Oryctolagus cuniculus: one gene and its partner. The protein of the gene in region 1 interacts with the protein of each later gene in a biochemical or structural test. Links are inferred from orthologs where the notes say so. Each region holds a gene or a part of one and is shown in the gene's direction. Other genes may lie near its edges.

Region 1 (14,829 bases):
TCCGCTGTTTCTTTTTTCCCTCGCATCTTGTTAAAGGCGAAGTCATACAGATCTGGATTCAGATTATGACCAGCCTCTTCTATTAGCTGTGGGGCCATGCTGTGTGCAAGTTTCTTAACATCTCAAGCCTTGTATTTTCACGTATGAAAAAAAGGAGGGCTCCTATGGGATTTATGGGCGACTGAAAGGCAGTACAATATGTAGCGTGTTGTTAATAGCCAGTCGGGGATGATACGTTTCAGGCTGTTTTTACTCTGTGTTCACCAAGGCCCAGCGATTGGGGAGCTTTTGCACAGATACCTAAAACTAGCTGTAGAAGAGCCAGAAAGGACATCTGACCCACCTCCCCTCCCACACTCTCCCCCTTGCCAAGCTGAAGAGTTACTGAGCTAGGTTGGGTGGACCCTGGCTAGCTGCTTGGGAAAAAGCCACCATGTTCAAGGTGTCAAGGGACAGGGAGAAGAGATCCATGCCTGAATCCATAACAATGGATCTTCAGTTTGGAACCAGGGACCAGGAACTAGCAGCTTTTGAAGGGCGTGTAGGTGCTTCACAAAGTGCATAGAAAATGGAATTAGAGACAGGTGTTTGGCCTTGTGGTAAAGATGGCATTTGGGCCACCATCATCCCATAGTGGGATCCCTGGGTTTGAGTCCCACATCTGCTCCTGATTCCAGCATCCTGCTAATATGTACCTTGGGAGGCAGCAAGTGATGACTCCAGTCATTGGGTCCTTGCCAGCCACGTAGGAGACCTGGAATGGGTTTGTGGTTCCTGGATGTCAGCTTTGACTTGGCCCATCCCCAGCCACTTTAGGCATTTGGGGAGTTAGCCAGAAGATGGAGCTCACTCTGTCTCTCTGTTTCTCTTACTCTCACATAAGTGAGAAGGAAAATGGGATTAAAAGATAAGTTTATGGGAACGAGTATTTGGTGCAGCAGTAAGACACTGCTTGAGATGCCTTGTCCTATATCAGAGTGCCTGGGTAGGAGTCCTGATCTGCTCTTGATTACAGCTTCCTGCAAATGGAGTCCTTGAACAGCAGAGGATGATAACTCAAGGACTTGAGTCCCTGCCACCAGGTGGGAGACCCAATTGGAGATCCTGGGGGCCCCTGGCTATAGTGTGGACTGGGCTGTTGCTGGCATTTGGGGAGTGAACCAGTGGGTAGCAGATTTCTGTCTCTCTGCCTCCCAAATAAAGAATGAATAAAATTTTTTAAAAGGATAAATTTGTTTTGGCACAAAAATATTGACATAATACTGGAATCCATGCATATGAAAGGTCTTTATAAAGCACATGGATGGCCGGGGCCTGTGGTGCCAGCACACTGGGTTCTAGTCCCGGCCAGGGCGCCGAATTCTGTCCCAGTTGCCCTTCCTCCAGTCCAGCTCTCTGCTGTGGCCCAGGAGTGCAGTGGAGGATGGCCCAGGTCCTTGGGCCCTGCACCCGTATGGGAGACCAGGAGAAGCACCTGGCTCCTGGCTTCGGATCAGCACAGTACGCCGACCACAGCGGCCATTGGAGGGTGAACCAATGGTAAAGGAAGACCTTTCTCTCTGTCTCTCTCTCTCACTGTCCACTCTGCCTGTCTTAAAAAAAAAAAAAGCACATGGAAATAAATGTTATGAAAAAGCTACATATATATTTTAACATTTTTTTCAATCAAAAATAAACCTTTTTTAAGATTTATTTTATTTATTTGAAAGTCAGAGTTACACAGAGAGAGAAGAGGCACAGAGAGAGAGAGGGAGGAAGGGAGGTCTTCCATCCGATGGTTCATTCCCCAATAGGCTGCAATGGCCAGAGCTGCACCGATCCCAAGCCAGGAGCCAGGAGCTTCTTCTGGGTCTCCCACATGGGTGCAGGGGCCCATTGGGCCATCCTCTACTACTTTTTCCAAGCCATAGTAGAGAGCTGGGTCAGAAGTAGAGCAGCTGGGACATGAACTGGCGTCCATATGGGATGTCAGCACTGTAGGCAGCGGCTTTACCAGCTACCCTACAGTGCCAGCCCCTGAACCTATCTTTATTTATTCATTTGAAAGACAGTTACAGAGAGAGGTAGAGAGAGAGAGAGAGGTCTTCCATCCACTGGTTCACTTGTTAGGTGGCCACAATGGCCAGAGCTGCACCGATCCGAAGCCAGGAGCCAGGAACTTCCTCCGGGTCTCCCACATGAGTGCAGGGGCCCAAGGACTTGGGCCATCTTCCACTGCTATCCCAGGCAATAGCAGAGAGCTGAATTGAAAGAGGAGCAGCTGGGACTTGAACCGGTGCCCGTATGGGATGCCGGCGCTTCAGGCCAGGGCTTTAACCCGCTGCCCAACAGCACCAGCCCCCTGAACTTATCTTTTAAACCAGTTTTTCCATGAACTCTGTGAAGTGTCTGCATAGAGTGGAACTGGCAGTTTTCTTCAGTGGAGAGGATGCAGTGTCCCCTGCCACTTCGCGCCCCCGTGGCCTCCTCTGTGTTCCATTGCTTCTCCGGCTTCAGTGTGCTTTCTGTGAAACGAGCTTGACGGTGATGATACTGGCGATGGCTGATGTTGCCTGTGTGGTTACTGTGCACCTTGGTTCTCTGCATGTGTGGTCTGCTTAAAGCTCATAGAAGTGAGTCCCGGAGAAGTAGGTCTTGATGCTGCCTCTGCTCTGCAGATGCAGGAAACCCAGGCAGTGAGCGGGGAAGTAGCTCGCCCAGGTGAGTGCTGGCCCACAGGCTTGAATCCTTGCTTTGTGACCACAGAGTTTGTGATGGAGTGTTTAAAAGAAGAAAGCTTTATTGGGATGTAATTCACATAGTATATAATAAAGACATGCAGTTGGTAGTTTTTAATATGTTCAGAGTTGTGCAGCCATCGCTGCAATTTTAGAACCTACAAATGGATTTTATTAAAGTTTTGTTAATTTTTTATTTATTTACAAAACAGAGCAACAGAGAGACAGATGGACATCTTCCATCTCGTGGTTCACTCCACGAATGCCCACAAGATCCAGGGCTCCCATTTGGCTGGCAGGCACTTAGCCACTTGGGTCATCACCTGCTGCCTCCCAGGGGTGCGTGAGCAGGAAGGTAGAGAAGCAGGGAGGGGACTCAACCCAGACAATCTGATGTGGATGCAGGTGTCCTCAGTGGCGTCCGGACCCCTGTGCCATAGCACCTCCCACCCCTGGAGGAAGCCCATCCCCACTGGCGGTCACTCCTCATTCTCCCAGGAGTCTCAGGCAACCAGGAATCTGCTTTCCACCTCTGACTTTGTATCCTCTGGACCTTTTATGTAAATGGAATCACAGGATGTTTGTCACATTCCTCGTGGTTTGTGTGTATGTGTGTTTTTATGATTTATGTTTATCTGTTTGAGAGGCAGAGCCACAGAGAGAAAGGGAGAGACAGAAAGGTTTTATTTTTATTTTAAGATTTATTTATTTTTATTTGAAAGAGTTACACAGAGAGGCAGAGGCAGAGGCAGAGAGAGAGAGAGAGAGAGGTCTTCCATCCGCTGGTTCACTCCCCAATAGGCCACAACAGCCGGAGCTGCGCTGATCTGAAGCCAGGAGCCAGGAGCTTCTTCCAGGTCTCCCATGCGGGTGCAGGGGCCCAAGCACTTGGGCCATCCTCTACTGCTTTCCCAGGCCATAGCAGAGAGCTGGATCGGAAGTGGAGCAGCCGGGACTAGAACTGGCGCCCATATGGGATGCCGGCACTGCAGGAGGTGGCTCTACCCACTGTGCCACAGCGCTGGCCCCAGGAAGGTTTTACTTTATTTTTGTTTAATAGGCAGAAATAGATGGGGGGGGGGCACAGAGAAAGAGAGAGAGAAAGCGAGCTCCCATCTGCTGTTTATTCCCCCAAATGCCTGCAATGGCCAGGACTGGGCCAGGCTACAGCCAGGAGCCAGGAACCCTGGACAGGTCTGCTACACTCACAGATGGCCTAGCCATCATCTGCTGCCTTCCAGAACACTGGACTCTGAACAGAGTCAGAAACCAAACCCAGGCATTCCTGTGTGAGATGCAGGCACCTAGTCCTAGTGCAAACTAGTCCTCTGGCAGTCAGGGGTCGGTGTGCGGGAAGCACACATCAAACCTCGTGTAGAAAAGGATCCAGATCTGGAGTCAGACCCCAGCTGCAAATCCCATCTCTGACAGTGGTGAGCTGGGTAACCCCACTCCCACCCCTGGCCCTGGCTCACTGTCTGTAAAATGGGCACAGTCCAGCTAACTCACAGGGTTGTGGGCATGGCACCCTCCTGGAGCTGAGTGATCCTTTAATTTCCCGTTCTCCTACCCACCTCCCCTGCGTCCAGGGCGTGTGTGCGCACATGTGTGTCGTAAAGCTTCCAAGCCGTGGATTAAGGGTTCTGACACATCTGTCTGTGCTGAGGATATAAGAGCACGAGTGTTTTGTGGAACAGTCCACTCCCCAGTGACGGCTGAGCCCGGCAGTGTCCTGAACACACCTTGCAAGGTTATCCCTCAGGCTCTGAATGGACTTCTCCCTCTGTGTAGGGTGCCCTCCTACCTCACGTCAGCCATCCTTCATCCTTGAACTCCGCAGCACTCCAGTGGGAGAGAGCGCCTCCCTCTGCCCCAGGCCTCCTGCCGCCTTGTTGTAACTGTTGCCTGTGCTGTCAGTTTCTTAGGCCCTTGCTGTTGCTCCATCACTCACCCTGCCACAGCCCTGCATGGCTGTGTTTCTCCCATGAACACCCTAAGCTTGTTTCCCGCCTGAGGGTCTGGGCACTTGCCGTTGCCTCTCCCAGGAGAGCTATTTAGATTTTCTTGGGATTCATTTTTTTCTAACCTCACATCCCATGGTCTTTATTGGCATCTGAGATTATGGGTTTACTTATTCACTGTGCTTCCTCTCACAGCCCTCCCTGAGGGTCCCTGCCACCTGCAACACTGTCCACACATCACAGGTCCTGTGTGCTTCCTGCTATTTTTCTTTTAAAGTTTCTATGAAAGGCAGAGTGACAGGGAGGGAAGGAGGAATGGGATGAGGAGTGCAGAGAGAGATCTCCCATCGGCTGGTTCACTCTCCAAATGCCTGCAACAGCTGGAGCTGGGCTAGGCCAAAGCCAGGAGCTAGAGCTTCCTCCATGCCTCCCACGTGGGTACAGGGACCCAAGCACTTAGGCCATGTTCTGCTGTTTACTCAGGTGGATTACCAGGGAGCTGGGTCTGGAGTAGAGCAGCCAGGACTCGAACCAGCACCCATGTGGAATGCCAGTGCAGCAGACGGTGGCTTAACCTGCTTTGCCACAGCACTGGCCCGAGGCCCACCTCTTACTGCTGTCACAGGGGGTGTCTTTGTACCCTGAGTTTAAGGGGCTCTGCCCATTCAAACCATAGGAAGTAGGGGACTGTGTGCAGGTGCTCCTCAGCTTGTGATAGGGTCGCATCCCAATCAACCCAATGAAAGTCTAACCTGCATTTGGTGCCCCTCACCTCTGAACCACTTAGCTCAGCCCCAGCACCCTGTGGAGCCTTGGTGGTTTCTTCTGTTGGCTGTGGGGGTCTCACCTGCTGCTACCACAGGGCGTTGTACTGCATGCTGGTAGCCTGGGAAGAGACCCGGCTCTGGGTGTGTCTTCTCTTAATGTGTGTCACTTGGATACCATTGTGAAATTTACAGATCATCAGGACAGGCACTGTGGGTAGTTAGGAGTGGTTAAGGTAGTTTATGTTGTGTTATATGTATGTGTGTTTAAAGGTTTTATTCATTTTTAGAAAGATGTATTATTTATTTGAAAGGCAGGGTTAGATAGAAGAGAGAGATCTTCCATTTACTGGTTCACTCCCCAAATGGCTGTGATGGCCTGGGCTAGGCCAGGCCAAAGCCAGGAGCCAGGGGCTTCTTCTGGGTCTCCCACCTGGGTGCAGGGGCCTAAGTGCTTGGTTCATCTTGCGCTGCTTTCCCAGGCACATTCATAGGGAGCTGGATCAGGAGTGGAGCAGCCAGAGCTTGAACCTGTGCTCCTGTATGGGATGTATCGTAAATGGCAGCTTAACCCGCTGCACCACAATGCTGACCCCTGTGTTACATGTTTGAGTACCATTTGATAAACAAAATTAGTGTTGCCAGAAACTGACATCTTCCAAAATCACCATGGACGAATCTAGAACTCAAATGCTGGGACATGTCTGGCTTCTGGGCAGTATGCATGAAGTGCAAGAAATGGGTCAGTTTCCTGAGGCCTGGCAAAGCAGTGTGCTGGCCCCCAGCTGCCTTGTAATCCATGCTGCTTTGCCGCTGAGCCCAGTGAGCCAGCTCCTTGGGCTGAGCCTGCCTGGGCACATGGATCCTGCAGATGCCTGCACAGCTCGTGTCGAGGCACCCACTCAGCTACTAGGGGTCCTGCCCTCTCAAGTTCAGATTTGGAGCACAATACAGTGTTCCTTTTCCGAGCCATTAGAACGCTTAGTGAAGAGCTGTACCAAGAATTTGTTCTCATAGAATTCCGGGGAAGGGCAGGAGCAGCATGAGCTCTGCTTAGAGGTTGCCTCATTTCTTGCTGACCCGGGGCCTCTGAGGTGCACATGGTTCCAGGTCACTTTGACGAGGAAGCAGCAGAGGCTCCAGGGCCCCACAGTTGAGTGGCAGAGCAAGGGTTGCACCTTGAGGACTTTGCTTCGGTTTCAATCAAGTTGCTTCCTGTGTGGTCTTGACCTTGTGCTCCACCTTTATATCCATCGCCCTCTCAACCCCCAGTGGCTCACACCCTTCTTCTGCCACCTGCTTGGTGTGGTGCATGGTGTGTCCCTGCCCTGTGGGAGCAAGAATGACCAGGAGCTCCCCAGGACCTTGTATCTGAAATCGGAGCTCCAGCTTCCAAGCTCCTGCCATCCCAGCAGGCATTTCTAGATGTCCAGAATCTTTCCATTTGCATTTCCATCCCTCCCTAAGGCAGAGAGACAAACAGAAGGCAGCCTGTTTGTTGTTCTGTTATCTGTGAAGTTTATAGAAAGGTTAGAAAGAGGAGAGAACTTTGCTGAGCAAGCACTCTGTCCTGGACCGCTGCCCACTCTTATCTTCCCCTGGTTATCTCCAGGATTGGAGAACATTTTCTCTTGGTGCCTCGTACTTCTATGTATCATTACCAGTTCTTTCCCAGCTGGCTTGTGCTTTGTATATGAGATGATCTGTGTCAGTTCTCTGAATATTCAGAGAATATTAATATTATTTTAAAGGTCTCATGTACAGTTATTCCTCAGTGTCTGTCAGGTATTGGTCTAGGACCCCCTGCCCCTGCCCCCTTGGAACCACAGGCTGTGCACGCTCAAGCCCCTTGGATAGGCTGGCATGGTCTACGCGTATCTACACACGTCCTCTTGGATGCTTTGAGCCACGTCTAGATGATCGTAACACAGAGCAGTGGCAGTGCTCGATGCATCGTTGTTGCACTGTCTTGTTGAGGGAGGGGTGCTGAGAAAGAAGTCCGTGCATGTTCTGTACAGGCACAGTTTTGGGGAATGCTCTCCCTCTGTGCTTGGCTGCACCTGCCGTCGCAGAGGCTCTGGGTACAGAGGGCACACGGAGTGCCGACTCTGCTTAATCTTCTCTGCTGATACACGGCCATCTCCTATGGCTAGGAGAAGTATCTCCTGGCACACGCTGGTTCCTCGCGTGGGAGAGGGGCCGCCTTCTCTTCTGACCTCACAAGTGGGGCTTTACAACGCGCGCAGCAGCTCTGCCGTCTGGATGCGGCACTGTGTGAGATGACAACAGGATTTGCCGCGAATGTGGGGCACTATTGTATCCGCCTTATGTAACCACGTGGAGGCATGGCCATGGGTGAGCAGCCTGCGAGGTAGGCGGCGGCCAGGCCGGCTCCCAGGAGGCCATGAAGGCTGCTCGGGTGCTACACAGGATGTGGATCCAGGCTGTGAAGAGCTGTGGGAGACTGAAAGGCCATGTGAGTTGCGGGGCACTCTCCCCCTCTCTCCTGGGGGAGAGGAGCCGCTCTCACAGTGGCTCCTTTATGCTCGGGCTGACTTGGGCTCTGCAGACCGTGGGGTGTGGGCAGCGGTGGGTTGCTGACAGCCATTCTCTGGGCTTGTGCTGCAGAGCTGCTGTTTTCTGACGTTGGGAATCTGCTGGCATGGTTTTCGCTTCCTACATGTGGCTTAATGTACGATTGTTTGCATTTGAGGGTTTCTCATTTGGGGTAAAACAGTGTTGTCTTCTTGCTCTGCAGAAATACGTGCTGTTTGAACTCCCTTTGTCCGGTTGTCTCAAAGATCAGAGAAGTTGTTTTCCATGTGTCCCTTGTGTTCCTGTGTGCTTGGAGCCTGTGGCATCTGTATCACGTGTGCCGCTGAGGAGCTTGGGGGTTCTATGGAGTGTGTCCCTGTGGGTGGCTTTATATTAAACTTGGTTTTCAGCTGTGATCTCCATCTTCGGAAGCAGCAGTTTTAGTGAACAGAAAACCTGAAAGTGGCCTGTTTAGGAGACATTGAGGATATTTGTATCTGAGTTGTGACTGCTCTTTCTGTAAAACACATTTCTGAGTTCTTATGTGAAATATATGTGATGTTTAAAAATCCAGTTGGCCAAGGTTTTCCATAGGAAAGAAGTTTTAATGAAAAGTAGAGGATGTTTTCTTTAATAGGAAACAAATCAAATAACTACTTGTCCAAGTCCCTCTCTCTCCTTTTATTCACACAAATACCTGATCACACAGACTTTATTTGTGGTACAAAAGTCAGCCTTCCAGGGGATCCAGGAGGGCTTGTCCTGTCTGGGCGGGGATGGAGAAGTAGGAACGATAAGGAGAAGTGATGAGGAGCGTGCAGAGGACCCTCCTGGTGGGCAGCATGTTGACCCTCAGGTGGAAAAGATGACTTGGAGCCTTCAGCACCTGCACCCTCTGCACTGCCCCCCGCCCCGGCATCTCCATGCCTGCGCACCACGCTTGCCTTTCTTTGTCTCCCCGAGCTGGTGCCACCCCCACTTTGCCATCTCTGTTCTGCCCTGTCACTTTGCGAAATCGGAACTGCAAAATCAGTATTAGATGACCATTTGGTATTGGGTCCCTGTCTGGGAACCAGGGACTGCTGGATGCTCCTCTCACTCGCTTTGCTGTTCTTGTAACTTAAGGAATCTGATGCCTGTAAAAGAGTTCAGTATTGAGTGACGCAGTGTTGATTAAATACCATGAGCTCAACCCACATCCCATGGACCTCACCGAGACAGAACACACGACCCTATGTGTCACTCCCTGCCTCGCCCTCTGCAGCCTGCCCTGGCCACTTTGTCCTGAATTTTGTGCCTTTCATCCCCTACTTTGATGGTGTAGTTTTACTACACACACACACACACACACACACACACAAAGCACATAACACAAAATCTACCATCTTAACCCCTTTAAAGTTTTCATTTGAGTAGTGTTAAATGTGTTCACATTGTTGTAAAATGTTGTTTGCCTCTTTAACTCTTTAAAAATGATACCGCATGAACCAATCCCTCGGCATGTTTTTCAGTCCACATTTTATTAGAGATATGTCCTGTGCCCTGTTGTGCTTCTGAGTGTATGTGGCTGTGGTTGGTTTGTTTTCATGGCAGTGCAACTTTGTATTTTTCTTGCTGTTTGTTCTGCCCTTGGTAGATATTTGGTTTCCCAATTGTGGCCTTTGAGAACATGGCCGCGGTGCCTGCTGTAGCCAGGTATCCTACGTGCACGTGATGTGCACATGTCTCCGCGTTTCCTCCAGCTGCTGGATGCGTGGCCCTCCCTGGAAGGCTTCCCACACCCTCAGCAGCCACCCGCTGGCATTCATGCACAGTCCATGTGTCAGCAGCAGGTCTGAGGCTCCCACAGCCCAGCACCATGGGTGGGGCCAGAGCCTGGTGGCCCAGTTGGAGCGGCCTCAGCTCAGGTCTCAGCCGAGCTGACTCACGCTGCCTCCTGCCCGCGGGTGTGTACGCAGAGCTCACACTCTGAGGAATATGGGTGATAGCGTGGGGTGCCCTGTGCTTCCGAAAAGGTACTGGAGAAACTTGGCAAGGCAGACACGCTGGTTTGTTTTCTGGGCACTGTGGCTAGCTGGAGAACTCCACAAGGGCTCTGGCTGCTGTGTTCTGTTGTGTATCCAGAGTGCCACAGACTGCGTGCTTGGCACATATGGGATGCTCGGTTAATAGTTTTGAATGAATGGTGGTGAGATTGTTGCAAAAATGCACAGCTCTGTGTGCTAAATATACATGCTAAGGATACATTTTTAATGTTCAAAGTGCTGATAAAATTGCTTTTTACCTGGGGCCGGCGCCGTGGCTCAGTAGGTTAATCCTCCGCCTGCGACACTGGCATCCCATATGGGCGCCGTGTTCTAGTCCCTGTTGCTCCTCTTCCAGTCCAGCTCTCTGCTGTGCCCCAGGAAGGCAGTGGAGGATGGCCCAAGCGCTTGGGCCCTGCACCCACATGGGAGACCAGGAGGAAGCACTTGGCTCCTGGCTTCAGATTGGCACAACATGCCGGCTGTAGCAGCCATTTGGGGGGTGAACCAACAGAAGGAAGACCTTTCTCTCTGTCTCTCTCTCTCACTGTCTAACTCTATCTGTCAAATAAATAAATAAAAAATAATAAAAAAATTGCTTTTTACCCAATCCCTACACCTTTAAGATTTTAGATTTTCCATTTAGTTTAGCACAGTAAGTTTCCTTGTAATATTCTGGTTAATGTCTTAACCTGTTAACTGTGAGTGAGAAGAGAGGCTTCTTAGATTCTAATCAGTTTCCTATCTGGTATCTGAGGTTTTAGATAACTAGGCAAGTTAATGGCCAGATCTGACCATTTGAAATTTTGATTCCGCTCTATTGATGGTGATAATGGTAAAATGTTGATCCTGTCTATGACAAATCAACTTTGAGAGAGGATATGAATCTTCCGTCTTCTGATGTGCTCTACAAATGCCTGGAACAGCTGGGCCTGGGCCAGGCCAAAGCCAGAAGCCTGGAACTCCTTTGGGTCTCCCATGTGGGTGGCAGTAACCCAAGTCCTTGAACCAACACCTGCTACTTCCCAGGGTGCTCCTTAGCAGGAAACTGGGATCAGAAACAGAGGTAGGATTTGATCCAAGGGATTCTGACTTGGAATGCAGTATCCCAAGCAGCAGCTTAACCTGCTGCACCACAACGCCTGCTCTTGACAAATCTAGTTTAAGTTGCTCTTTAAGTCATACAGTAGTGCTTACAGAGAGTGTTCACTCATTAAGGAAGAACCTGAATTTCAAAAGCCAGATTCATTCTACCTGGAAACTTTTAAATAAAATTTTGTAGCAACCCTTTATTTTGGGTGTGTGTGTGTGTGTGTCAATGATCTATTTTAAATCTAATAATTTAAAAAGATAGTTTGTACTTTTATTTTTAAAATAAAAATGTGTTTTAAAAGTAATGTCTTTGGGACCAGCACTGTGGTGCAGAGTTTAAAACTCCTGCCTTCAATGCCATCATCCCATATGGGTGCTAGTTTATGTCCCGGCTGTTCTACTTCTGATCCAGCTCCCTGCTAATGTGCCTGGGAAAGCATCAGAGGATGACCCAAGTCCTTGGGCCTCTGCCCCAAGTGGGAGACCCAGAAGAAGCTCCTGGCTCTGAATCAGCTCAGCTCTGGCCATTTCAGCTATTTGGGGAGTGAATCAGCAGAAGGAAGATCTCTCTCTCTCTGCCTCTGCCTCTGCCTCTCCCTCTCCCTCCTCTTCCCCCTCCTCTGTGTCTTTACCTCTCTCTGTAACTCTTTAAAATAAATAAAATAAATATTTTTAAAAAATAGTAATGTCCTCATACAAAAATATTCTCAGTAATATCACAACTCCTTAGGAAATTTAATACATTTTGGTGTCCTTCCAGTCTTTTCCAAATGTGCTTATGTAATTATGGATTTGTGAAAATAAGAACAAACAATGAAGTTTTGTTTCTTGATTTCCTCCCTTGTACCATACTTTTTAAGTACAGATCTCTATATATGTATAGTTATCTCCTTAGTGAATATTACATTGGTTTTCTGTTTAAAAACTTAAAAGTGGGGCCGGCGCCTTGGCTCACTTGGTTAACCCTCTGCCTGCAGCGCCGGTATCCCATATGGGTGGCCGGGTTCTAGACCCGGTTGCTCCTCTTCCAGTCCAGCTCTCTGCTATGGCCCAGGAAGGCAGTGGAGGATGGCCCAAGTGCTTAGGCTCCTGCACCCACAAGGGAGACCAGGAGGAAGCACCTGGCTCCTGGCTTCGGATTGGTGCAGCTCCAGCCATAGCGGCCATTTTGGGGGTGAACCAAAGGAAGGAAGATCTCTCTCTCTCTCTCTCTCTCTCTCATTGTCTATAACTCTGCCTGTCAAATAAAAAAAAAAAAAACTTAAAAGTGGTTTTAAATTACTCAACTTTTTGTCATACAATAAAATATCTGATAAGCTATATATGAAGAAAGGAGGTTTATTTGGCCCACAGTTTTTGGGGTTCACAGCACACAGGGTGGGCCCATGGGTGTGAGGCTGCTGGTGAGGGCAGAGGATGGTGGGCAAGCATCTGCAGCCCAGCCTCCCTTTCATATCCTGCCCTCCCATGAGAAGCACCTCTCAAAGCCACGCCCTGTGCCTCAGGCCTTCGCACCAGGCCCACCTCCTAACTGGATTAACTTTCCTCCCTCTTAATACCATTAGTTGGTGACTTGGGCACTTAACTGCAGAAGTTTTGGAGCTATATCCTATTAAAACTGTAGCAGGTTGTGTCTGTGCACGCTGCTTTGATGCTAACCTGGGATGTTCTTTGAAGCCTGTGTTTAGGTTCTGTGTGTTCTTTGGGTAGGATTTCCATTTGCCTCTATGTAGGCGATGAACACACGGGACCACCTTGAGTGTGAGTGTTTGGGGAAGTGTGGTCACATCAGACATGAATCTCAGCACTAAACCTGTGTGTGTGCAGGTTTGTTGCTAGAAGTTCTTTGGAGGGATGGTTGTAGAGCCATGGACGAGACAGGCAAGTGTCCTGCCATCTCCTTCTATGTGGCAGTACATTTTCCTGCTCAGTGATCACCCAGATCCAATCTTCCACCCAGTTTGCATCTCCTTCTCCCAGGATCATGCTTTATGCCAGGCTTTGAGCTTTCTTAGTGTATGTAGCCCTGAAAGGCAGCTTGCCTTCAATGGATTATTAGAATTTTTATCACGACAGCACTGTTTGTCGGGTTTTTTGTCAACATCTACTGTGGAATATTGTTGGAGACAGAAGCCCAGTTTTTGAGCCATTTTCATCCTTCACATCCAGCCATACAAATGGAGGAAAAGCCAAAAATACCACAGATTGTCCAGCTGAGCGCACTGTGATGAGGCCAAGGAGGTCCTTGGACACAGATGTGCAGAAACTTCCCTGGGACACTGCCTTTTACAAGGAGGGGGAGAGGGGTTCAAAAAATGAGAAAGCAGTTTTTCAAATTAGATTTTTAAAAATTTATGAGGGGATGAGAGAGAAATCTGCTATCTGCTTGTTTACTCTCCAAATGCCTGCAGCAGCCAAGGCTGGGCTAGGCCAAAGTTAGGACCCAGAACTCAATCCAGGTCTCTCAGGTGGGTAGCAGGAACCAAGTCCAATAGCCCTCCTTGGTATGCACTAGTAGAAAGTTAGAATTGGAAGTGGAGCTGAGGTCCAAACCCAGGCATCTCATGGGGGATGCTGGCCTCCCAGCTGGTGTCATCATTGGCTGTGCCAAACACCTGCTCGTGAAACACAGGTGTTTGTAAAGGGATTTTTGTGATGATAGTGTTTTTGGAATGCTGATAACAAAGGGCTCAACACCTAGCACGTTGTTCCCTCTCTCACCGTGATGTCTCTAAATTTTCTAGTGGCATTGTTGAGACTGCCATTGCCTTGAAGGGGGAGTGCATTTGAAAGTTGATAGCATAACTTTCCAAACAGATATCATCTCTTTTTGGCATGCAGAAAGTGTGAACTGGACTTTGTATTGAGATATGTTGAATTTTGGCTTCATTTCTGGCATTTGTGGTTTTAATCAGATTGGTTTTGTTTATTTTAAAACAGGCCCCAGGCATGGAAGAGCTGATATGGGAACAGTACACCGTGACCCTACAGAAGGTGAGTTCTGTGTGGGATTCATGGGTTGTATGGGCACATTCTGGGTTTTATGGATCACAGATCTTACCATTTTTGCCCATATGCAGTTTTGGTTTATTCCCCCTTCAGTTAGGTAATACGTTACTGGTGTAGGTAGCAGCTGTCAGACACTACTGGGTTGACAAAAATTTGCATGCTATTGTGTGTGTGTGTGTGTGTGTGTGTAAGATTTATTTATTTACTTGAAAGTTAGAGTTATAGAGAGGCAGAGGCAGAGAGAGAGAGAGTCTTCTATCTGCTGATTTACTCCCCAAAATGGCCGCAATGGCCAGAGATGGGCCATTTGGGAGCCAGGAGCCAGGAGCTTCTTCTGGTTCTCCCACATGAGTGCAGGGGCCCAAGGATTTGGGCCATCTTCCACTGCTTTCTCAGATGCATTAGCAGAGAGCTGAATTGGAGGTGGAATAGCTGGAACTCAAACAGGTGCCCAAATGAGATACTGGTGCTGCAGGTGGTGACTTACCCACTACACCACAGCACCAGCTCCTCTATTATATATTTTTAGTGAAGTCTGTATACTATAGAACGTTTTAGAGGTTATTTAGTGTATTCCGCTGTCTGCAGATTGAACAGGTACACAAAAGAGAAAAGAAAGGGAGAAATGAAAATGACCTGTACTGAGGTAGCCTTTATAACTTCTAGAGTTTTGCTTGTAACACATATTCCTATATTGCTCTCAGTGAGTTGTTTTTTTTTTTTTTTT
Region 2 (14,929 bases), on another chromosome or scaffold:
CAAATGGATGACTGATAAGTTTTTAAAAAAAATTTAAGGGGCCAGCACTGTGGCGTAGTGGGTTAAGCCTCTGCCTATGGCAGCTCGGGCATCCTATATGGGCGTCAGTTCGTGTTCCAGCTACTCCACTTCCAATCCAGCTTCCTGCTAATGCACTTGGGAAAACAGCAGAAGGTGGCCCAAGTGCTTTGGCCCCTGCACCCACGTGGGAGACCAGCATGAAGCTCCTGGCTCCTTGCTTCAGATCAGCACGGCTCTGGCCGTTATAGCCATTTGGGAACTGAACCAGTGAATGGAAGACTTTGCTCTCTGTCTCTCCCTCTCTGTTTGTAACTCTACCTCTCAAATAAATAAATAAATCTAAAAAAAGATTTATAAAAAATTTTAAAATATTTATTTATTCTTAAAGTCTGAGTTACAGAGAGAGGGAAAGGTGGAGAGAGAGAGATCTTCCATCTGCTGGTTCACTCCCCAAGATGGCTGCAACAGCCCTTGCTGGGTTAGGCTGAAGCCAGGAGCCAGAGTCTCCCGTATGGGTGCAGGGGCCCAAGCACTTGGGCCACCTTCTGCTGCTTTCCCAGGCACATTAGCAGGCAGCTGGATAGGAAGTGGAGCAGCTGGGACATGAACTGAAGCCCAGAGGGGATGCTGGGGTTGCAGGCTGCGGCTTTACACACTAAGCCACAATAAAGGCCCGACCAGTGCAGTTTTAAAGATAAAACAGATTTTCTTCCAATCTGTAGGGAAATGTCCTGCCCTGCTGCATATGATTGGTAAACTGAATTTCAGGCCAATTACCTAGAGTAAGGCCACAGAAAGGAAAAGAAAAGAAAAACCATCCCCAGATCTCTTTCTCTGCATCATCCATTGCGACAATATTCTGGCCCATACCAGATCTCTCTCTCCGCAGATGATGGTACCAAACCTACTCTGATCCAATGAAGTTACGGTTACTTTCTGTGGGTATTTGAGGAATGTTATTCACAAAACAACACACCTGGGCTGGCGCCGCGGCTCACTAGGCTAATCCTCTGCCTTGCGGCGCCGGCACACCGGGTTCTAGTCCCAGTCAGGGCGCCTGATTCTGTCCCGGTTGCCCTCTTCCAGGCCAGCTCTCTGCTGTGGCCCGGGAGTGCAGTGGAGGATGGCCCAAGTGCTTGGGCCTTGCACCCCATGGGAGACCAGGAGAAGCACCTGGCTCCTGCCATCGGATCAGCACGGTGCGCCAGCCGCAGCAGCCATTGGAGGGTGAACCAACAGCAAAGGAAGACCTTTCTCTCTGTCTCTCTCTCACTGTCCACTCTGCCTGTCAAAAAAAAAAAAAAAAAAAAAAACCAAACACACAAAACAACACACCTGGACTTAGGTCAGTAACCACCTTCCAATCAGGTCTCTAAATTCTATCCTTAAAAATATTTTGTATTATAAAATAAAAAATTCCCACAAAAATTTATGACATATATACACAGTTTAATACAGTATTATAAGGACTGGTACTGCAGTGTAGTGGTAGAGCCACCACCTGTGGGGCAGGCATCCCATATGGGCGCTGGTTTGAGTCCTGGCTGCTCCACTTCTAATCCAGTTCCCTGATAATGCAGGAGAAGATGGCCTAAATCCTTGGGCCCCTGCACCCGCATGGAAACCCGGAAGAAACTCCTGTCTCCTGGCTTCGGATCAACCCAGTTCCAGCTGGTGCAGCCATTTGGGGAGTGAACCAGTGGATGGAAGACTTCTCTCTCTCTCTGACTCTGCCTCTCTGTAACTCTGTTTTTCAAATAAATTAATTAATTGTTTTTTAAAAAACCACAGTATTAGCAAGTCACCTGAAGTACAGTGAAGCTGTTGGGAACACGAGTGCAGGAACCACATGACCTGGGTGTGAATCCTGTCTATCACCAAGCAGATAACCTGAGTAAATGATCAACCCTTTCTGAGCTGTAGTTTTCCAATGCATAACATGGAGAAAAGAACAGTACATCATATGGTTTCTGCAAAGGCAAAAATAACAAAAAATCAAAAGCTCATGAAACACACAGCACAGCACCTGGCACACGCCTTTCTCTGAGTAAGGAAGGTTGTTACTATTAATTATTATTTCAGTTGTTGAAGTTCCTGTTCAGCTGTCGATTCTCTTTGTTCCACCTTGGATTCCTCCTGGAAGGATCTTGCTTCCTGCACAGGAAATGAGGAGACAGAGGTTCACTCCCTCACGTAATCGTCCTCTTAGAAATTGCCTTCCTGCTCACTTCCCCATAGATCCTCCCACTTATCCAAGGAAACTGTGCTCTGTGGAGGAGGGAGCCTCCCCCGTGGTGGGGTGGGGAAACAGGGTGCCCTCAGCAACTCCAAACTGAATTGCTCTTGAACAAATACCAAACATTGGATTCATCCACTAAGCAGGTGCAGCAGAGTGGAAATATTTTAATCTCTCTTCTTTTCTTCTCTAAGCCCTAGTTCTCCAGATGTAAGTCTTGAAATGCTACCAAGGAATGTGTTGGTTTCACAGTGTTGGCTGCCTGAGAGATGGCTAAGACTGCAGACAAGTGGGGCTAGGAGAATCAGGGTTAGATTCACCGACACACTCACTCAAGCAATATTTCTGGAAAACTTGTGTCTCGGGGACTATTCCCGGCCGATGGGACACAGCAATGACTTGCTAAACATTTACTGAGACTTGTTTTATGGCCCAGCGTGCAGTCTGCCTTGGAGAATGTCCCACGAGCCTACCAACTACCTTGTATGGTACTATTTATTATCATCCTGGATGTGCAGTGGAGAAAAATTAGACTATATAATTTCCAGCTACTAATTGGCAATGCAGACTTGAATGCAGATTTCTGACAGTATAATCTGAGCAGAACCTTCTCCTTTACATATAATAAGGAAGAGAAAACCATTTTTAGTTTTATCATCCATTTGACTGCAGGTAAAATCAACAAATTTCTAATCATAGGTCTTCTGAGAATAATATTTACTTGTTTCTGAGTCATGGGGATGCTAATCAAATAGTAGTCAATAGTGAGTTGCCAAGAAGCAATACTTGGTAAAAATATAGTTAATTTTTGCTACAATTTATGATTATGTGACATGATGAAATTGAGTATAGTCCTTTACCCCCAATAATAAAGTTTGTTTTGCTGTCGAAGATATGTTTAAGTTTTAAGGTTGGATTTTTTTTCTAGATACTTTCAACTACTACCTAATGTGTACAGAATGAGTATTAGGCAATAGGTCAAACCACACTAGTTTTTGGATCTTTCACTGTTGTGAGTATAGTTTGGAAAACTAATCTGAACTAAATATAAATGGTATAAAACATTTCCCAGAAATTTAATTTAGTATTGAGTTAAACCATATGAAGTTGACATTTTTGCAATTAAAAAATGATCAACTATTGCCAGTTTCATGTAGTTCAACTTAACAAATCCTACTATCCCTATGCATGGGCTCAGCAATACCTAGGAAGTCAGTTTCAGGGCAGGTGTTTGGCACAGAGGTGAGGACAGCACCTAAGATGCCTGCGTCCCACAGCCGAGTGCTGGGTTCACCCCCTGGCCCTGGCCCTGCCCCTGAATCCAGCTTCCCACTAATGCAGACCCTGGGAGGAAGCACACCACCCACATTGAATTCCTGGTTCCTGGCTTCATGGCTGTCCACTGAGGGCATTTGGGGAATGCCAGCAGATGGAAACTCTCTCTCTGCCTCTCAAATAAATATGTAAAAAATAATAAAACCCTACACAAAAGAATTCAAAAGAAATCCACACAAAAACTTACACATGAACGTTTCTAAATCTCTATCAACTGATGAGTGGATTAAATGAAATGTGGAACAGCCATACACAGGAGTGTTACTCAGTCATAAAAAGGAATGGGGTGTTGGTACCTGCTTCAGCACACATGAATCTTGAAAACAGCATGTGAAATAAAAGAAGCCAGCCACAAAGGCTACACCCACTGACCCTCTGGATCCATGCATTCAACCAACTCTGGATGCAAACCATTTGGGAAAAATAGTTCAGTCTATACTGAACAGGTACAGACATTTTTCCTCATCATTAGACCCTAAATATAGTACAACCACTGTTTACACAACACTTATATTGATGACACAGTGTAAGGGAGATACACACAGGTTATATGCAAATAATAGGATGTTTTATGTAAGGGACTTGATCCTCTCAGATTTTGGTGTTCTTGGACACCAAGGGATGACTGTCTTCTGTTATCTACTCGTATAAAATGTCCAGCTTGGGCAAATCAATAGAGACAGGAAGACAGAAGCTGGGGAGAGGGAAGTGGAGAGTGCGGCTCCTGGGTCTGGGGTGAGGGAAATGTGAAATCAACCTCGTGAGTGTTTCAAAAATCACTGACTTGAATGCACACTTGGAAAGGATTCATTTGATGTTGTGTGGAATACATTTCTTTTCCAAAAATAGAAAGAAATTCGGAGGATCACCTCTTTGCTGTACTCTATTGTTAGGGACTGTCAAGATACATTGTAAAGTAAAAGACACGTGTTTACAAACCTCGGGAGCATTAGGAAATGTTCCCTTGTTTAATTATAAACCGACTGGAATGTTCGGAGATTTCAGTAATCTGGCATTGAACATTAAGAGGATTAACTTGACTTCCCCAGTGTTACCAATACTAATTTAAACGGCATCACTCAAAAACTACAAACACCCTGCAAGGATGACTTCCACGAAAAAAAAAAATACCAATTAGATTAATTACCTATTAAGGCTGTCATCATTTAAAACACCTTATGCTATATTTACAAGCTTTTACTTCCTTCAGTATTGAATTGTGCCTTAAGATCTAATATTCGGGAGCGTCACAGCTCTAACCACTTATTAAAGGCTCAGGGGTGGGCGGGATTGGACAGAGACTCATCGGCAAGGCTGGCATCCCAGGAATAGAGTCAGGCTTCAAGAAACCTAAATTCTCGCTTTCAAGGCAGACCCGTGGTAAGAACTAAAACGACCACATCCCAGGGTACAATTTTGCTAAAAAGTCGAAATGCAACACTGTCGCAGACATAGACCGTAGGCGGTCAATCACAGACCAAGAAATAATAGAAATCTATTCTCTTAGTTACCAGACTAAGGTTTTTTTTGTTTTGTTTTGCTTTTTCTCTTTGTCTTTTAAGCCAAAGAGACTACCGAAAACAGTTGAAAAGCCGCTCAGAGCCGCCTGCCAATCATAGAGTCTCATTCGGGGGTGGAGGTGGGGTTGAGGACCCGGCCCCCGGCCGTTACTCTGAGCGACGGGCTTTTCCCGAAAGTGCTCCTAAACCATCGCGCCTTCCCAAAGTGTCTCCCGGGGTCTGCGGTTGGAGGAACGCCTCCGGGTCGCTTTCTCCCGACCACCGCTCAGAGGGGAGGAAGGCGTGCGAGGACGAGCAGCCCCGCACGCCTCCCTCCGCCTCGCCCCGCCAGCTCCCGCCGTGCGCCAGCCCCGGGGGGCTGCACCGCCTCCCCCGGCCTCCCGGGAGCCCGGGCCGCCGCGGCCGAAACGCGGTGCGGTTCCTTTAACGGAGCGCGCCCGCGGGGTGTGCGGGGCAGGGCTGGGTCCTCCGCCTGCCGCTGCCCGCTCCCCTCCCCCGCCCGGGCGAGTTTCAGGTGAATGGGTCACCGGGGGAGGAGGCCGCCGCACCACACCTCTCGCGAGCGCCCGCCTCCCCTGGCCGCCCGGGTCGCGCGCAGGCAGGCGGCTGGAGTCCGGGCAGCGGCGGCCGGAGCGCGGGGGACGCGGCGGCGGCAGGTGGGACTCGCGAGGGCCTCTCGCGCCCCTGGCCGGGCGCGGGTGCGCATGCCCGGGGCAGGGCGGCCGGGGCCGGGCGGAGGCCGAGGGCTGGGTCCCCAGCGCAGTCCCGGGCTGCCCGCCGGCGGCCCGCGCGGCCTCAGGTGCGCCAGCCAGGTGAGCGCGCTCCTCGGCTCCTGCGGCCCCCGGGTGGGGGGCGGTGAGTGGGTGAGAGTTGGGCGCGGCGCCAGGGCCGCAGGGGGCCCCGAGGGTCCCCGCTGGGCGGCAGAGGCGGCGCCGGGGAGGACGCTCAGCGCTGGTTTCGGTGGCGGTTTCGCCCGGGGGCTGCGGGACCGTGCAGGGAGCAGCGCCTGGCGCTGGGGGAGGCTGCGTGCCCGGGCCGCGGGGGCCCAGCTTTGTTCGACCCAAGCGCTGCAAGTGACCAGGGTCCGGGCGGCGCGGGTAGCTTTTCTGTTTTAGGGGGGCGGGAGGTGTAAGGACTGCGCGCTAGGCTCTACAGGTCTTTTTTTTCTTTTCTTTCTTTCTTTCTTTCTTTTTTTTTCTTTTTTTTTTTTTTTTGAGTGGGGGTGGTCCTAGGCACAGGGGCGCGGCGCCGGCTGCAAGGTCCTAGGCCAGGGGGTGGGGGCCAGAGGTCACTGGCCGGCCGGGGCGGCTTTGGCCGCACCCCACCCCCTTGGGCGTCCAGGCGAGGGGTGGCCGGTTTGCTCCGGGTCAGAATTCCTGGAGTCGCGCCGTGAACCACCCTGGCCTTTCGAAGCCACTCCGTGAGAGTTGTTTGAACCCGCGTCGATTTAAGCCAGGGGCGGAGAGTGAGTTTCGAGTGAGGCTGGACTTCTAGGGAAGCGGCTCACGCCTCGGGTCCTCACCCGTGACCGAAAGGCCACCGCCAGGTGGGCGGACCTGCCTGCGGCCGAGCCTGCCCGAGCGCCGCGGAGCGCGCGGCCGGGGACCCACGGTCGCCGCCCGACCGGCCAGTGTGGGAGCCAAAATGGCCTCTGCGCCCTGGGGCTGGGAGCCCCTCCGAGTCCCTGGCGTCTTTGTGGAGCGCCGGAGCCCGAGGGGGAAGCCCCGGGGCTGGGCGGGCTGCAGGCCGCTTTCCAGGTTCTGCACAACAGGTGCATTATTGGGATCCTGGGAAAACAGGAGCTCTTCCCACGAGGGTGATTCGGGTGACGTGCTGAGGTTGAAACCTGGTTCTTTCTAGGTGGAGGTAGGTTTCTCAGACTTCTCGCAGGTGCAGCAGTTGTTATTTTGCAGGGTACCTGTGTTTTGTACTACTGGTGTTTTTAAAAGATATTTTAAATGGTGGAGCCACACCTATAGATATCTCCTTAGGCAAAATAACACTCAGTTAAAAAAGTTTGCGTTTATTTAGTTGTTAGGTGTTTGTTCCGTGGAGAGGGGGTGTAGTGACATGGGTAACACAGGCTATGCACCTGCCAGCAGGTTCTTTACCTGGCTGTTTAGGGAAGTAATGGGCAGTGCCTTCTCTACCCAAGGCAGGTCCTGTTGGACCTGCATTTTAAGGTGGCTACCGGCTTGCAGGGGAAGGATGGAACATGGGCTGGCTGGAAAGCTTCACCTGACCTGGGAAGGTGTGTCGGATGCCTCAGTGCTTGATAGTCCAGCATCAGAGTAGACTTGGCGAGCTTTCCTGAGGTTCTCTGCCATTGACCAGTCCCTGTGGCCTTGCCCGACGTAAAGGTGGAATTCCTCATTTTCTCCTGAAGATAACGTGGGAATTGCTGGTGTCTTTTCAATGAGGCAGTTCTGTGTCACCGCGTGAGTAGACGGGTACATCTTTCACCTCTGAGGAGCTTCACAGAAGGAAGTTTTCATTGATTGCATTAAAATAAGAGGTTTATTTATTTATTTATTTGAAAGGCAGAGTTACAGAGAAAGAGGAAGAGACAGAGAGCGAGAGCGAGCGATCTTCCATTCGCTGGTTCACTCCTCAGATGACTGCAAAGGCCAGAGCTGGGCCGATAGTAGCCAGGAGCTTCTTCCAGGTCTCCCACGTGGGTGCAGGGGCCCAAGGACTTGGGCCATCTTCCCTTGCTTCCCCAGGTGCACTAGCAGGGAGCTAGATCTGAAATGCAGCAGCGGGGACTCTAACCGGCACTCATATGGGATGCCAGAGTTGCAGGCGGCGGCTTTAGCCGCTATGCCACAGTGCCAGCCCCCCAGTTTCTTCCCCCCACTTATTTGAGAGGCAGAGAGCCCATGCACAAGCGCTCTCATCTGCTGATTCATTCCCAAATGCTCACAGTGGGCAGGGGGCCACAGTCGTAGCCCAGAGCTGGAGTACAACCCCAGGTCTCCCACTGGGATGGCAGGAGCCCAGTCATAGGTGTGTCACAGGTACCTCCCAGGACGCCCACCAGCTGGAAGCTCAAGTTAGGAGTTGGAGTTTAGAATTAAACCCAGGCACTCAGATGCGTGTTGTGGGCATCTTAACTGCTCTAACCTATACTTTTAAAAGGCAAATTGACTCTTGCTGCGTGTGATGTAAAAGGAACAGACTCCCCATAAACACAGTAAGGTTACCTGTTCACTTGTTGACAGTTTTCCTTAAGGAATAAGGTGAGAGCAAAGCATTTTCAGACTCTTTCCCAGCTCAGCTTATGTTTCTTTTTTAAAAAAAAAATTTTTTTTTTATTTGACAGGTAGAGTTATAGACAGTGAGAGAGAGATAGAAAGGTCTTCCTTCTGTTGATTCACTCCACAAATGGCCACTACAGCCGGCGCTGCGCCGATCTGAAGCCAGGAACCAGGTGCTTCTTCCTGGTCTCCCATGCGGGTGCAGGGGCCCAAGGCCTTGGGCCATCTTCCACTGCTTTCCCAGGCCACAGCAGAGAGCTGGATAGGAAGTGGAGCAACTGGGACTTGAACCCGTGTCCATATTAGAATTAAACCCAGGATGCTAGCACTGCAGGTGGTGGCTTTACCCACTATGCCACAGTGCTGGCTCCGAAAATGCACTTTTTAAAAACAGCTCCTGGCTCCTGGCTTCACATCGGCTAAGCTCAGCTCCGGCCGTTGCGGCCATTTGGGGAGTGAACCAGCAGATGGAAGATCTCTCTCTCTCTCTCTCTCTCTTTCCCCCTCTCTGCCCCTCTCCGTGTAACTGTGACTTTTAAGTAAAATAAATAAATCTTAAAAAAAAAGCTAACTCCAATACATTAAAAAAAAAAAAAAAAAAACACAGCTGCACTGTGGCTGGTGCTGTGTTTAGCTGCCTCCTACTGTGCCGGAATCCCATGTGGATGCTGGTTTGCATCTTAGTTGCTCCACTTCCCATCCAGCTTCCTGCTAATGCACCTGGAGAAGCGCAAGTCCTTGGGCCCCTGAACCATGTGGTGTAGCCATCTGGGGGGTGAAGCAGCAGATGGAAGATCTCTCTCTCTCTCTCTCTCTCTCTCTCTCTCTGTAACTCTACCTTTCAAATAAATAAAATTTTTTTTTAAATAGAACACCATAAAGCACCTGCACTGAAAACACCAGGTCTCCTTTATTCTGCACTTAAGCTCTTGATTTTTAAAATTAAGTTTACATTTTAATTTTTTAGAAGATTTTATTTGAAAGGAAGAGAGAGGGAGAGAGAGGGAGAGATCTTCCATCTGCTGCTTCACTTCCTAAATGGCTGCTGTGGTCCAGGCTGAAGCCAGGAACCAAGAACTTCATCCTAGTCTTCCATGTGGGTGACAGGGACCCAGGTACTTGGGCCATCTTTTGCTGCCTTGCGAGGCACATTAGCAGGAAGCCTGATCAGAAGCAGAGCCAGCTGCTCCATATGGGATGCCAGTGTCTCAGGCAGCAGCTTAACCTGCTGAGCCATAGCACCAGCCCCCAAGTTTGCATTTTTGGAATGCTTACTTGGCTGATATTCAGCAGGCCAAAGTATGCGGGACAAGCAGGATTGGTTAGCACCAGTTTATTGGAAGGTTGTTTCACTTTGCAGAGGAAGGGCTGCAAGGGGTGTGTCTCAGGGAGCAGCTGAGCAAAGAGGAGCATGTGCTGGAATGTTCTGGGCCTTTGCCTGCCTGAGCTAGAGGTAGGGACGGACGGTGGTGTCTTGCAGGTGTTGTGGTAGTGTGTACTAGCCAGGCAGGAAGCTCGCTGGGTAGGGGTGCGGGCACTTGCTTGGGGAATTCTCCAGAATCACCAGGTGTGAGGACTTTTCTTTTTTAAAAGATTTATTTAATTTATTTGAAAGGCACAGTTATGGAGGTGTCGGGGGAGATACAGAACGATCTTCATCTGCTGCTTCACTCCCCAAATAGCTGCGCCAGTTAGGGCTGGGCCAGACCGAAATGAGGAACCAAGAGCTTCTTCTGGGTCTCCCATAAGGGTGGCACTTGGGCCATCCTCCCCTGCTTTTCCAGGTGCACTAGCAGGGAGCTGGATTGGAAGCAGAGCAGCTGGGACTGGAACTGATGCTCATATGGGAGACCCGCTGTGCCACAGTGCTGGCCTGCAAAGTTTCTGTACAAGGCCTCAGAGAAAAAGAAATGGCTGAGTGTGTGTGTGTGTGTGTGTGTGTGTAGGGAGTCCTTTTCCCTAACATTCCCTCCTCTTGTTATTTGGTGAATATTCTGGTGGATGGGGTGAAGGTCAGTTCCTGCTGAACGGGCTGGCTGCAGGGCTGCCCCTACCAGGAGAAAGGGAAGCTGGGAGCACCTAGTGGTCACGGGTGCCTTGGAGTGACACCTCCCGAGTTTGTTGTCGCCTTTGTAAAGCTTCCCTGAGAGCCTGGACCTGCCCTTGGATGAAGAAGGGTAGAATTTAGGAGACAGGGAGGGACCCTGGAGGAATAGAGGAAGGTTGTTATAGGACCCAGAAAGGGAGCTGGCCAGGAGGACCACCCTCAGCCATTGGTCTTGGAACTCCGTTGGTCAAAACTCCCCTGCCAGCCATGTTTAGAAAAGTTTATGGTGTTTTTGATCATGGTTTTTTTTTTTTTTTTTTTTTTTTTTTTTTTTTTTTTTTGACAGGCAGAGTGGACAGTGAGAGAGAGAGACAGAGAGAAAGGTCTTCCTTTGCCGTTGGTTCACCCTCCAATGGCCGCCGCGGCCGGCGCGCTGCAGCTGGCACACCGCGCTGATCCGATGGCAGGAGCCAGGAGCCAGGTGCTTTTCCTGGTCTCCCATGGGGTGCAGGGCCCAAGCACCTGGGCCATCCTCCACTGCACTCCCTGGCCACAGCAGAGGGCTGGCCTGGAAGAGGGGCAACCAGGACAGAATCCGGCGCCCCGACCGGGACTAGAACCCGGTGTGCCGGCGCCGCTAGGCGGAGGATTAGCCTAGTGAGCCGCGGCGCCGGCCTGATCATGTTTTTTAGGTCGATATATACCTTACTGGACTGATGACCGAAACAGTAGCCTTTTTTCCTCTCTGCATGGCCTAAGTTCCCCCTTGATTAGCAGAGGATGTGAAGTGCTTGACTGCTCTATACCATCACGCCAGCCAGGAAGGTGAGCGCTTCCTGCACAGGGTCAGCTTCAGCTCTCAGGGCAGCAGTTTGTTGGCTCAGCTCGCGTGAGACCTGCCTGGCTGCAGATGTGGCCTGGAGGGGTCCGCCCGAATGGATGGCTGTGGCAGCTAGGACAGGTAGGATCGTGGAGTCCGTGAGCGAAGTGGAATGGGATGCTGTCACTGATTAGTGAGAGCTTGGGCATGAGTAAGCAGGCGTGCAGGTCCCAGGCCAGCTGGCCGGCAGGCATAGGTGGGTACTGGTTCCGCAGACAAAGTCCGGGCTGTGGGCGGGCTCTAAATATGGATCAAGACTGAAATAGGCTTAGACAGGAAGGAAGTGGAAGTGTCGGTCCCTTCATTAGGTAGAGGTAAGGGTCGTCCCAGCTAACGGGGTAAGCAGATCGCTGTGTGAGGCAGGCTTGAGGAGCTGTGTGCCCGTGTGAAGGGGAGAATGGTGGGATTTCACCCAGGCCCTCAGAGGAATGTAAACTCTTGTAGTCCTTTTGCTTTGTGAGGCTGGCCAGTGGGGCTGGGGGTCTGTGGGCCCCTTCAGACAGAGGTGGATGTCCTTCACAAGCGGGCTGCCCGCTGTGGCTGGAAAGCCTGTCTCCATACCAACCGGCATCTCCCCGATGCTAGCTTCTTGTGCTGCACTTGTGACCTTGCAGCCTTAAGTCACCTTCAGGGTGGGTGCAGTCTTTCACCTGGGGCTAGCAGAGGGAGGGGGGTCTGAGCCCCTAAGGAGACGGGCAGTCTCCAGGAGGCCGGTACTATCTCCGTGAGCCCCAAGCCAATCAGCACATGTAAAACCCCTTGTCCAGGGGCCAGCGCTGTGGCGCAGCGGGTTAATGCCCTGGCCTGAAGCGCCGGCATCCCATATGGGTGCCGGTTCTAGTCCTGGCTGCTCCTCTTCCGATCCAGCTCTCTGCTATGGCCTGGGAAAGCAGTGGAAGATGACCCAAGTCCTTGGGCCCCTGCACCCACATGAGAGACCTGGAAGAAGCTCCTCGCTTCTGGCTTCGGATCAGCTCAGCTCTGACCGTTGCGGCCAATTGGGGAGTGAGCCATCGGATAGAAGACCCCCCACACCCCGGCTCGCCTCTCTCTGTGTAACTCTGACTTTCAAATAAATAAATAAATCTTTAAAAAAAACCTTGTCAGTGGGCACCTCCAATAGGATAACTCAGTATACAGATAGCAATGCTTTAAAAACCCGAGACACTTCCTCAAAGCCAGTGTTCCATTTGGGCACTCCCCTGGTCTCCTCTTGGACCAGGCGCTTTCTCTATTGCTTACCAATCAAATAAAAGTTTGCAAATTTGTCTCCCAGCTTTTTATTTCTATACTAAGCTGAGGAAAAGAACCCAAGAGACTCGCTCCAGCAACCGCCCTCCACTCTGTGACCATTAACACTTTGTGTTGGTTGGAATCAGAAATTGTGGCCCTTGAAGGGCCAGTGGGTGCTGCCTAAATAACTTGTCTGTCTCTAGTTGGTGGTGAGATGGTAGGGCTTTGGGAAGAATATATTATAAAAGAGGGAGGTTGAGTGATAGGTGTGTGGGGAGTTGGTTTGGTCATGGGTGATGGACCCACTGTCCACTGGGAGAGGGGGTGAAGGACTGATTGCATGTCTGTAATGTTGGGAGGAGCTCCCCCTGGATGTCCTGGTGGGTGTGGGGGGATAGGGGGTAGAAGAGACACAAGGAAGGGCTTGTCTGGAAAGAGACAGGAGAAAGTGGGTCCATGGCGGTTGAACTGTGGCCTGTTTTCCAGATGTTTGAGGAGGATATGGGAGTTGGTGGACTTGACCCTGAGATGGATGGCCCGTCTCAGTCCATTAGAATAGGAAAGGGCAGGCTTGGTTTTGAGCTGACTCCAGTCAGTTGGGGAAGCTTGGATTGTGATCAGTCTGTCCTGGGGGAATTGTAATTCCAAGGCCTATTTTGATTGAGGAGGTTGAAGGTCACCTGGATAGTGGGGAGATAAGGGCGTGGGAGTGGGAAGGTATGGGTTGAGAAGGAGGGAAAAGTTGACAAGACAGAGAGGCTGAATCCAGCCATGGGGGGGATATAGAGTTGGATGTGCAAAGAGATAAGGACCCATAGCAGCAAAAGAGTTCATAATAGGGGGTGTCGGAGGGCTAATTGAGAGAGAGGAAGAATCAGCCAAAGTGGAGAGAGGCTCGTGAAGTGACCTCGTATTAGGGCCTGGCATTAAGAACAAGATTTCAGATCAAGATGTGACAATTTTGCACATCTTAAGTTTTTTTTTTTTTTTTTAGATTTATTTATTTGAGAGGAGAGACAGAAAGGTCTTCCATCCTCTAGTTCACTCCCCAGATGGCCGTAATGGCCAGAACTCAACTGATCCAAAAATCCAGGGGCTTCCTCTGGGTCTCTCACGCGGGTGCAGGGGCCCAAGGACTAGCTAGAGTCATCTTCTACTGCTTTCCCAGACTGTAACCGAGAGCTGGATCAGAAGAGAAGCTGCCAGGACACGAACCGGCACCCATATGGGATGCTGGCACTGCAGGTAGAAGCTTAGCCCACTACGCCACAGAGCCAGCCCCCTTGCACTTTCTAAATTCTAAGAAGGACAGGAGGTCGTGTTTGCTGGTAGGCTTAGGAAGAGAAGAAACGAGGTATTTCTGTCCTGTGCTTATTTGCTGCTTTCCTGGAGACAGAATGAGCCCAAGTCTGTGACGGGGATTGGTTGGGTTGAGCCTTGGAGGGGGAGACCCAGTTGGGAGGTCTGTGTTCTGGGCTGCACAGGAGGAGGTTGCCAGCATACTGGGGGAGGGTGCTCCTGGGAGGGAAAGAGAGGAAAGGTCTTCAGTTAATGCCTGCCTGCTGTCCCAGAACCCTGGGGAAGGACAGCCCGTGTGAGTTGTGAGCACGGGTGTTGGGGTCTGTCTGAGTAGCAGTGAAGTGGTCTTGAGAGGACTGAAAAGAAATGCCCCTGGCCGGCGCCGCGACTCACTAGGCTAATCCTTCGCCTTGCGGCGCCGGCACACCGGGTTCTAGTCCCGGTCGGGGCGCCGGATTCTGTCCCGGTTGCCCCTCTTCCAGGCCAGCCCTCTGCTGTGGCCAGGGAGTGCAGTGGAGGATGGCCCAGGTGCTTGGGCCCTGCACCCCATGGGAGACCAGGAAAAGCACCTGGCTCCTGGCTCCTGCCATCGGATCAGCGCGGTGCGCCGGCCGCAGCGCGCCGGCCGCGGCGGCCATTGGAGGGTGAACCAACGGCAAAGGAAGACCTTTCTCTCTGTCTCTCTCTCTCTCACTGTCCACTCTGCCTGTCAAAAAAAAAAAAAGAAATGCCCCTGTGGTCCATGGTGGCATAGTAGGCACAGTATCTGCTATGGGGAGTAGGCACAGCTTTGTTAATGACTTTGTTAATAATCACTTGGATGGAGCAGAAGGAGCCCTGGGGTTTTTGGCTGGGAGGGTGGTGGTGTTGGAGGGGTCATAGTGGTGTGGAATTTGGACGGGAGTGGGACAGTGGGAAGGAACCAGAAAGGAATGTGCGGAAAAGTGTCTTCCAAGGCAACAAGGGAGAATTGGATTTTTTCCCCCTGGGAACTGAGATAAGTCTGTTGACCCCAGCAATAGAGATGGAAGAATGGGAGTAAGTGGCTCCTGTGTTGATAAGAAATGTTACTGAGAGCCACCCAGGGGTGGTGGAGGTGGA

Evidence for each region.
Region 2: the proteins of TJP2 (region 1) and OCLN form a complex in vitro, tested with the Homo sapiens proteins (3 studies listed by BioGRID). The link is inferred for Oryctolagus cuniculus from reciprocal best matches to the Homo sapiens genes TJP2 and OCLN.

What each region holds. Positions count from the first base shown.
Region 1 is NC_091432.1:161,215,501-161,230,329, reverse strand, and holds the start of TJP2 (tight junction protein ZO-2), read left to right. Parts: upstream 1-7,822; 5' UTR 7,823-7,846; coding exon 7,847-7,918; intron 7,919-14,033; coding exon 14,034-14,087; intron 14,088-14,829. UniProt on the Homo sapiens protein: Plays a role in tight junctions and adherens junctions. Acts as a positive regulator of RANKL-induced osteoclast differentiation, potentially via mediating downstream transcriptional activity.
Region 2 is NC_091445.1:90,428,751-90,443,679, forward strand, and holds the start of OCLN (occludin), read left to right. Parts: upstream 1-5,482; 5' UTR 5,483-5,626; intron 5,627-5,628; exon of another isoform or gene 5,629-5,768; intron 5,769-5,784; exon of another isoform or gene 5,785-5,924; intron 5,925-14,929. UniProt on the Homo sapiens protein: May play a role in the formation and regulation of the tight junction (TJ) paracellular permeability barrier.